2 linked regions of the Zea mays genome follow. The protein of the gene in region 2 binds, or shares a complex with, the protein of the main gene of each other region. Links are inferred from orthologs where the notes say so. Each region holds a gene or a part of one and is shown on either strand. Other genes may lie near its edges. The genes, in order: Nucleolar complex protein 2 homolog-like and uncharacterized protein LOC100501347.

Region 1 (4,387 bases), on a different chromosome or scaffold from region 2:
AGGATAGGAATAACCGAACAAGGCCTAAGTATAGTTTGGAAACTTAAGGCATGTTTGGTTTGCTATTTAACTTACCACACTTTGCCTAATTTTTCTGTCTAAGGTTAGTTATTCAATTCGGACGACTAACCTTAGGCAAAGTGTGACATATTTAGCTAGGGATGAAAACGGTTTCGGAATTTTTCGGTATTCCGGAAACCGATTTCGAAATTTTTCGGTCGGATTCATCGGTAACGGTATTTTTCGAAAACGGAATCGGTTTTCGGAATTTTCTATCGGAATCGGTATCGGAATCGACGTGGTGTTTTACCGACCGTTTCCTTCGGTTACCGGTTTTTGTCGGAAATTACCGGATCTGTGTCTCGGAATTTTCCGGAATTGTGTCTCGGAATTTTTCGGAATTGTGTCTCGGAATTTTTCGGAATTTTCCAGCATGTGATTTTTCGCATCGTCTGTACGTCTCTAGATAAGGATTACTTATTTTTGTATTTTTTGGACACCTTTAGAATTTTTTTGGATAGATGGTGTTGGAAGGCAGTTGAGATTAACAATTTGGTCTTTTCCACACACTAGGTTTTAGGGTTTTCCTGTGAGGTTGTGAAAAACTCTTTATGTGAGGAAAAAATATTTCATAAGTAAGCATGCATGTCAGCTAGATCAAGTGGATATTATGAATTATGAACTTTGAGTCTATGAACTTGTGATCTTTATGAACTTATTTACTATGAACTTGTTATATTGTGAACTTGTGATCTTTGTACACTTTTTATATTATAAATTTTTAATCCTTGTGAACTTTTTATATTGTGAACTTGTTATATCATGAATTGTGAACTTGTGGTCTTTGTGATCTTTTGTCAACTTTGTTGTATTATGAAGTTTGATATATTCACCGATTGTATTTTAGATTCCGACCGTTACCGGTGTATTTTCCGCACCAAACTTTCGTTTCCGATGTTTCCGAAATATCGATATCATTTCCGTTTCCGGAGTTACCGTTTTCGATTTTGTTTCCGATAAAAAATATGAAAACGGTAATGGTTTTAGTGTTTACCGACCGTTTCTGACCGTTTTCATCTTTATATTTAGCTACGAACCAAACATGCCCTTAAATTTCCTTCGTGTTCGGAGAAGATTGAGCAAAAACATAGTTTATTTTCCCCTTAATTCCTTTTAATTCAGAGACGTTTTGAACTGGCCCTTATAGTAAAATCGACTCCCGGGGATTGGGCCCTAACCCGGCCAGTTCCGGCCCAAACGAGCAAGCCTTAAGCCCTTAACTGACGCTTGTGAGGGCGTCGGCAGTTCGCGACACCCCGTGCAGCCGTGCTCTTCCGCTTGAACTAGGGCGCCTCCGCCTCCGCGCCCGCGCCGCCGCCGGCTGTAGCCATGTCCGACGAATACGGTGGGCTCCTCATCCATCCACATTTCTGTGGGTTACTCTATGCTCTATTGCTATTGCGCTTGTTTAACTTGGGATTTTGATTGGTTTTCTTCCCCTTTCGCTGTGGTTTTGGCGGGGGATTAGTGGACTTGCCCGTCTCGGACGAGGATGAAGAAGAGCTCGAAGATGAGATGGATGATGGTGATGGGGAGAGTGGTGGTGGAAGCTCGAAGAAAAAGGCCAAGCAGCACGTGGAGCAGCTCAAGCGGCTGCAGCAAAAGGTTTGTCCCTGTCGCCTCCGGTTTATTGTTACTATTACTTAAAAATGATGCTTAACAGTGTAAGTGGATTTTTGATAGTTCCTGAATGTGCCTATTCTTTTCTTATGCTTTATTATTACTGGTTGCCCACCTGAGTATATGACTTTTAGGTTCGCCTGTGCCCTTGTGCTGTTTGTCCTGTAGATACTTTTAAATTGAATCTGCAAGCTGGTACGGTTGCCCTTGTGGACAGTAACTATTTTAATTGATTCAGAAATTGATTGCAGTCTGGCAATCTGCTGAGTTAATGTAGTATTTGAAACTGCTGATAGTAGGTATCGTAGAATGGGCTATAAAGTGACTGGCTGCAAAATAGTATTAGTTGGACCAACTTCCTTCAGAGGTGGATCTGTGTTATAGAGATAAGTTGAGAGGTGGACAATTGTGTAGAACGATGATGTTTTTCTATGTTCGTTTCATTCCCAATTTAACCATATTGTAATGGTAGTTATGCTACAAAATGAGTAAGGAATGCCACATAATAACTGTTTTGACCTAAACTGCTGTTGCATTAAATTTAACATCTTGCATACTCCAATAAGTGATCCCTTGAGCTTACACTCTAACTTTAAGGCTTGAATTGTCGCCTGCCCCATTCACTGATTGTGGAAATGGCATTGTCATAGGCTCATAACATTTGATTACTCACTCTGGCATAGCTTTCCTGGTTTTTACTTGCTCAATTTACATTCATTGGTTAGAAACAATAACATTCCCTGGTAGATTATTTTTGTATAGTATTGGTGTCCCGCTTATTATATCTGTTGCTTAAATCCTGAACTATGTTAACTAGGGTTGCACAGTTTAGCCTAAGGCCCACAAGTAGCTATTCGTTTTGAGAAATATGCATTTCTCCCCTTCCTAATTTCTGTCTGTCTGCTGCTGTGCTGCATGCCATAATATATGTTGGTTGTTTTTGAGGCTTATGTCCTTTTTTGATTTTATGTAGGATCCTGATTTCTATAAATATTTAGAAGAGTTTGATAAAGATTTGTTGGGATTTGATGATGATGATGATGAAATCGAGGTAAGCTGGTCCCTTTTTGTGAGTTTTCTATACTAGAATGATGAGTGGTCATTGTTCTACATTACATTTAGAACGACCGGGAGACTGGGGTTGAGGAGAAAGAGCAATATGTATCTAAAGAGGAACTGAAGCATGTGAAACCGATTACAATGGAAATGGTTGATTCCTGGTGCAACGGAGTAGAGAATGAAAAGATAGGTTCTATCCGTTCTATTCTTCAAGCTTTTCGCAGAGCCTGCCATTATGGTGAAGATCATGGGGACAATTCAACTCCGAAGCTCAGTGTCATGTCTGGCAGCGTACTTGATAAAGTTATGCACTTTGTTTTGAAACACATGGATAAAGTCCTCCGTCAATTACTTGGTGCCCCAAGCTATGGAGGGAAGAAAGAGGTAATCAGTGAGCTGATGCTGAGTAAGTCATGGAAGAGGCATGGTAATCTTATGAGGATCTATCTTGCCAATGCGCTTCATATGATAACAGAGATGACCGATGAGCAAATGATAGCATTTACTGTACACCGTGTCAGAGCATCAGCTGTTTTTCTGGCAGCTTTCCCATCGCTCCTGAGGAAGTATGTTAAGGTGTGTAGGTTACAATTTCTACTTTACCTTGGCTTTGAGTTATTTTTGGCATTGCTCTGCTATCTATCTACCAAGTTTGTTATTTACTTCTGTTTGCACGCTTCAATTGTAGGCTCTGCTCCATACCTGGGCTAGAGGACGAGGTGCAATGCCTCTTGTTTCTTTTATGTTCCTTCGAGACTTGTGCATTCAAGTAGGTTCAGATTGCCTTGATACTTGCCTCAAGGGTATCTATAAGGCTTATTTGGTGAACTGCAAACTGTCCAAATCTATCAGCGGATCAAAACAACAACACATTCAATTCCTTGGAAATTGTGTCAGAGAATTGTATAGTCTGGATCCACAAAGTGCGTATCAGCATGCTTTTGTTTTCATCCGTCAACTGGGGGTTATCCTAAGAGGAGCTCTTACTGAAAGGGGGCCAAAGGTATTCATTGAACTCATTGCCATGTACTGGAACTTTGTTGTCTACCTATGACCTGACAGATATTTGCCTCTCATTTTATTTTGAAAGTCAGTGAAGGACAAAAGGCAGAAAGAAAGTAGCAAATCATCGAAAAAACAAGCGGAGGTATTATTCATACTGCTACTCAATTACTGATACTCTATAACCTTTAAAACATCAGACCTTAAATAACTCCCCATATTCTTCCACCTGTTTTATTGAGAAAATCTCACCTTTACAAAATGCTATCGCCCCACCCCCAGTGTTTTTTTTTCTCGAACACGCAGGAGAGCTGCGTATCATTTCATTAAAAGAAGGATGATAATTACAATGACCTAAACACCACTTACACAAACACACACAAACAACACTAGTAATAACCACCTTCTAACCGGGGTTGAACACAAAAGCTAGGTCCGAAAGACGGGTCAAGCCTTTGGCCCCCCCCCCCCAAAACACCACATATTGAACTCATCACTGGCTGAGGTAAGCAATCTAGCTATAGAAGGCTGAGCACCATTGAAAACACAGTCATTACGGTGTCTCCAGATAGTCCAAGCCCCAAGAATCACCAAAGAGTTAAGGCCATCTCTAAGGTCCTTAGGAGTAACCTCAGCCGATCTACTC
Region 2 (4,466 bases):
CAAAGTCACATCTCATATACTCGATTTTGGTCCTGCTAATTCTAAATCCTTTTGACTCTAGGGTCTGACGTCATAACTCTAGTTTCATGTTTACTCCTTCCCGGCTTTCATCTACTAGAACTACATCGTCAGCAAAAAGCATACACCAAGGGATATCTCCTTGAGTCCGTGTATATCTCTCGTGACCTCATCTATCACTAAGGCAAATAGATAAGGGCTCAAAGCTGAAACTTGATGTAGTCCTATGTTAATCGAGAAAACATTTGTATCTAATCAATAAAAAACAGATCAGGCAAAGACTTGACACTGACACGCAAAATGAGTATTTACCTTACTACATCATCTGAGGAGCTTAAATTTTTTACCACACTAGCCAATAGGCTTTCACGGAAGTTAAAATGTGGGGCAGTGTCTAATAAAGCACACATGCAACGAACAGCCACAGTATAAAAGTAGGGCTGCTTCTCCAACGATATCAATTTCTGCAGGTAGGCCTGAAAATTCACAAAAGAAAACCAACTTCGGCCATCAGAATTTTGGAAGATATCCAGAACACCAAAATCGAAGGTGAAGAACAGTTCAAATCAGTATGTAAATAATACTCCCTCCGTCCCAAAATATTAGTCGTTTTAGCCCTTGAATTTTGTCTATTCAAATGGATGACAATGAATCTAGACATATTATATTATATATATATATATATATAACACATACATTGAGTATTATATGGATCTATTAAAATGCTAAAATGACTAATATTTTGGGATGGATGGAGTATCTACTTTTAGCATAGTTCATGGGCTCATGGACAGAAAAAAAATCACTGTGCATGAAGGACACCCAAAGCATGACCTTGTAGCAGCGAATAAGTGTGTACTCATAATATCTTGTCTTCTTCACTTCTTTCGAAACTTCTACTGCTAGCTCCTTTTCTGTCAGCTGCCTAATCCGATAACTGAAGTGTGCATAAAAAACATGCATAAGTGACTTGGGAAGAAACAAATCCAGCCAAGGTATATAACAAAAATTAACTGCAACATACCTTGGAATAACGTCCTTAAACACAGCAAGCAAAGACATCACACCAAGTTTAACAACCTTTTGGTCTCTGTCATTGCTTATACTTAGCATATCATTCAGAGATCTAATGTTCGACTCAGGATCTTCAAGCATAGACATCCCCAGTTCAGCAAGTTGAGCCTTCTTTTTTTCGAATAATTCCTCAGCTGAAAGTTCCTCCTTCACTTCCTCCTGCCATGTGTCATGCATAGTAAAAAGGTATGTGAGGGAATTAATTTTGATTAGAAAATGTAGAGATTATGGTAAATCAGTAGAACATTCCCAGACTAAAACTTCTGCAGTTTGTTAGATTGACCCAACCTTTGATAAAAATGGGCGAAATAGTTAATTTGGCTCAAAATCTTCTGTTTTATTCAGCCTATAGTATTTTATGTTTTTTTGTGAATGATTCTTATGTCAACATCGAGTTGTCGAGCCTTCAGTTTGGGGTACATACAAACCACTTTCTATATCTTACTTGAGGTTGAATATGCCTAATATACTTACATATTTACTACCAAACATAGAAAATCCATTACAATCATGCTTCATGACAATAGTATGATCAGATATATACATCCTTACTCTAAAGAAAGGAACCAAGAAACTGGTATACTTATTCTACCAACACACCCTGAGCCCTAAAATGAACTAGAGTAAGTGAGCAACTAGAAAAGAGATTTCAAAAATGAATTTTGACTGATGCATATTTATAAAAAGGAACAGAAGTAATACCAGCACATTTGAGTGTAGTTGTCCCTTTGGAACTTCAGTTTGGGATTGAATATTTTTCACTTTATTATCATCTCCCTTTTTGTTTTTAGATTTTCCCTTTGATTCATCTTTTTTAGTATTTGTCTTGGCATTTGCACCATTCTCTTGAGCTTTAGTCTTAACACTGCCGGAATTGTCTTCAGACCTTGCTTTCTTAGCTGCATGTCATGACATACATGTTACAAAATTATGTGACTATTACACCATAAACAGAACAAAATTGAAAAAACACACCGTCATTATTCTTCAATAATCGGACGCCAATGTGTAAAAATGTCATTTGCAAGTGATAACATGTTTTATTAACTGCAAGTGCATTACAATTTACAGGACATTCCAGTTTTGCACAGGTTAAAAAGTCGTTACAATAATCACGTTACTAGAAACTCGGACTTGATAGTTATGATTAGCCACTGGCATTGTGTATCTACTGGAACCACGAACGGTTTACCTCTATTGTAGACGAGCTCCCCTTGCAGCGTCTTGGTGGGGAGTGCGTCGACGGGGTCGACCTCCAAATAATCATCATCCTCGCGGGGTCTCCCCGACGATTCTGTGGCCTTCCGCTTCTGGCGCTCTTCGTAGAGGCGCTCGACCTCGCCCTCGTCGCGCCCGGCAACCCTCCCGACATACCTTCACGAACCAAATGGAAATTCTACGCTCAATCAACAGCAATGCAACAACAAGGGAGGGAAGTGAGGAATTGGGAGGCGCAGCGTCCCGGAGCCCAGCGACACCAACCTGTCGATGGACTTCTTGTCGAAGTGGCGGAAGGGTGTAACGTTACTGCTGTCGGTGGCATAGAACTCGATGTCTTCCTCGCTGACATCCACCTCATCGTCGTGTATTTCCGGCGGCAGCTCCGGTGGGAGAATGACCTTGTTCTTGTCCTTCCTACTGCTGCCGCTCCTCTTCCCCATCGAGACTGGCGGCGGCTAGTCCCGAATTGCAGTACGAGAAAGGAGGAGGCGCGGCGGGTTTGGGGTTCAGGTCAGGGTAGGGTTTTGCCGTTTTGGCGCAGCGTTGAGACTTGAGACGCGGCGGCGCGAGTAGAGGAAGAAGAAAGCGTGCTTGGTCTGGTGGGCCGCTGGTTTGGTCCTGAACCGGGCCTGCTGAATACTATAACCGGGCCGGAAAGGCCTTATTTTTTTCTTCTTCTTTGGATTCGATTGGATTATAATCACAGCATTCGATTCTTCTCTACTTGCCCTTGGGAATTTTGAAACGGCGGTTGAAAGAATCAGAAATAATGGTTCTTTTTTTCTTTTCTGAATAGGCGGTTATATAAAAAACGAAAATATATAGGGCTAAAATTGATCATGTGCCAACAAATATCAAAACCAAAGTTTGACATATCATATTTGGTTGTAGGCCAAGATTTGGAGTAAAAAAATGACCTGATTTGAGAATGGCCAAATTCTGGCATGACCAACTAGGGCATGCATCCAATTCATAAAATGTATCCCCTCCCTACATCATCATCAACATCAACATAGCCTTTTAGTCTCAAGCAAGTTGGGGTAGGCTACTGTCGGCGTTTCAAGACCGGGGGGTCCCTGGACCGACGAGTAAACTGTCGCCGCGTGCCCCAGCCCAGATGGGTCGGCGCGAGACGGAGCGCGAAGGGGGGAAAGGCAGCCGGAGGGAGACGGGCGTAAGAGGTGGAAATCTCGCGGCCTTCGTGTTTATCCCGCGCCCAGGTCGGGTGCACTTGCAGTAGGGGGTTACAAGCGTCCACGCGGGAGGGAGCGAGCGGCCTCACGTGAGCGTCTGTCCCGTCCTTTCCCCCACGCGGCCAACCCTCTGTAAGAGGGCCCTGGTCCTTCCTCTTATAAGTGCAAAGAGAGGATCCAGGTGTACAATGGGGGTGTAGCAGTGTGCTAACGTGTCTAGCGGAGGAGAGCTAGCGCCCTAAGTACATGCCATTGTGGCAGCCGGAGAGGTCTTGGCACCCGGTTCGTGTGGTGTCGTGGCCGTCGGAGGAGCGCTGGAGCCTGGCGGAAGGACAGCTGTCGGGGTTGTCGAGTCCTTGCTGACGTCCTCTTGCTTCCGTAAGGGGGCTGAGAGCCGCCGTCGTCATAGAGCGTGTGGGGCACCATCATTACTTGTCTGGTGGAGCGAGCCAGATGGGACGTCGGTCTTGTTCCCCGTAGCCTGAGTCAGCTTGGGGTAGGATAATGATGGCGCCTCCTGTTGACGTGGTCGGTCCGTGCCCTGGGTTGGGCGATGTGGAGGCTCCTCCGAGGTCGAGGTCGAGTCTGTCTTCTGAGGCTGAGGTCGAGTTCGAGCCCCTGGGTCGGGCGAGGCGGAGACCGTCGGCTGAGGCTAGGGCTGAGTCCGAGCCCTGGGGTCAGGCGAAGCGGAGTTCGTCGTCTTCCGGGGCTGAGCCCGAGTCCGAGCCCTGGGGTCGGGCGAAGCGGAGTTCGTCGTCTTCCGGGGCTGAGCCCGAGTCCGAGCCCTGGGGTCAGGCGAAGCGGAGTTCGTCGTCTTCCGGGGCTGAGCCCGAGTCCGAGCCCTGGGGTCGGGCGAAGCGGAGTTCGTCGTCTTCCGGGGCTGAGCCCGAGTCCGAGCCCTGGGGTCGGGCGAAGCGGAGTTCGTCGTCTTCCGGGGCTGAGCCCGAGTCCGAGCCCTGG

Evidence for each region.
Region 1: uncharacterized protein LOC100501347 (region 2) and Nucleolar complex protein 2 homolog-like share a complex: the UniProt entries of both Arabidopsis thaliana proteins name them as parts of the nucleolar complex. The link is inferred for Zea mays from reciprocal best matches to the Arabidopsis thaliana genes AT1G79150 and AT2G18220.

The regions. Positions count from the first base shown.
Region 1 is NC_050100.1:25,926,434-25,930,820, forward strand, and holds the start of Nucleolar complex protein 2 homolog-like, read left to right. Parts: upstream 1-1,297; 5' UTR 1,298-1,389; coding exon 1,390-1,405; intron 1,406-1,528; coding exon 1,529-1,665; intron 1,666-2,653; coding exon 2,654-2,731; intron 2,732-2,802; coding exon 2,803-3,315; intron 3,316-3,427; coding exon 3,428-3,742; intron 3,743-3,829; coding exon 3,830-3,886; intron 3,887-4,387. UniProt on the Arabidopsis thaliana protein: Together with SWA2, probably involved in pre-ribosome export from the nucleus to the cytoplasm.
Region 2 is NC_050096.1:74,285,346-74,289,811, forward strand, and holds the start of uncharacterized protein LOC100501347, read right to left. Parts: upstream 2,902-4,466; 5' UTR 2,754-2,901; coding exon 2,575-2,753; intron 2,467-2,574; coding exon 2,285-2,466; intron 1,992-2,284; coding exon 1,795-1,991; intron 1,252-1,794; coding exon 1,043-1,251; intron 956-1,042; coding exon 853-955; intron 495-852; coding exon 331-494; intron 1-330. UniProt on the Arabidopsis thaliana protein: May be required for synthesis of 60S ribosomal subunits and the transport of pre-ribosomes from the nucleoplasm to the cytoplasm. Also required for initiation of DNA replication.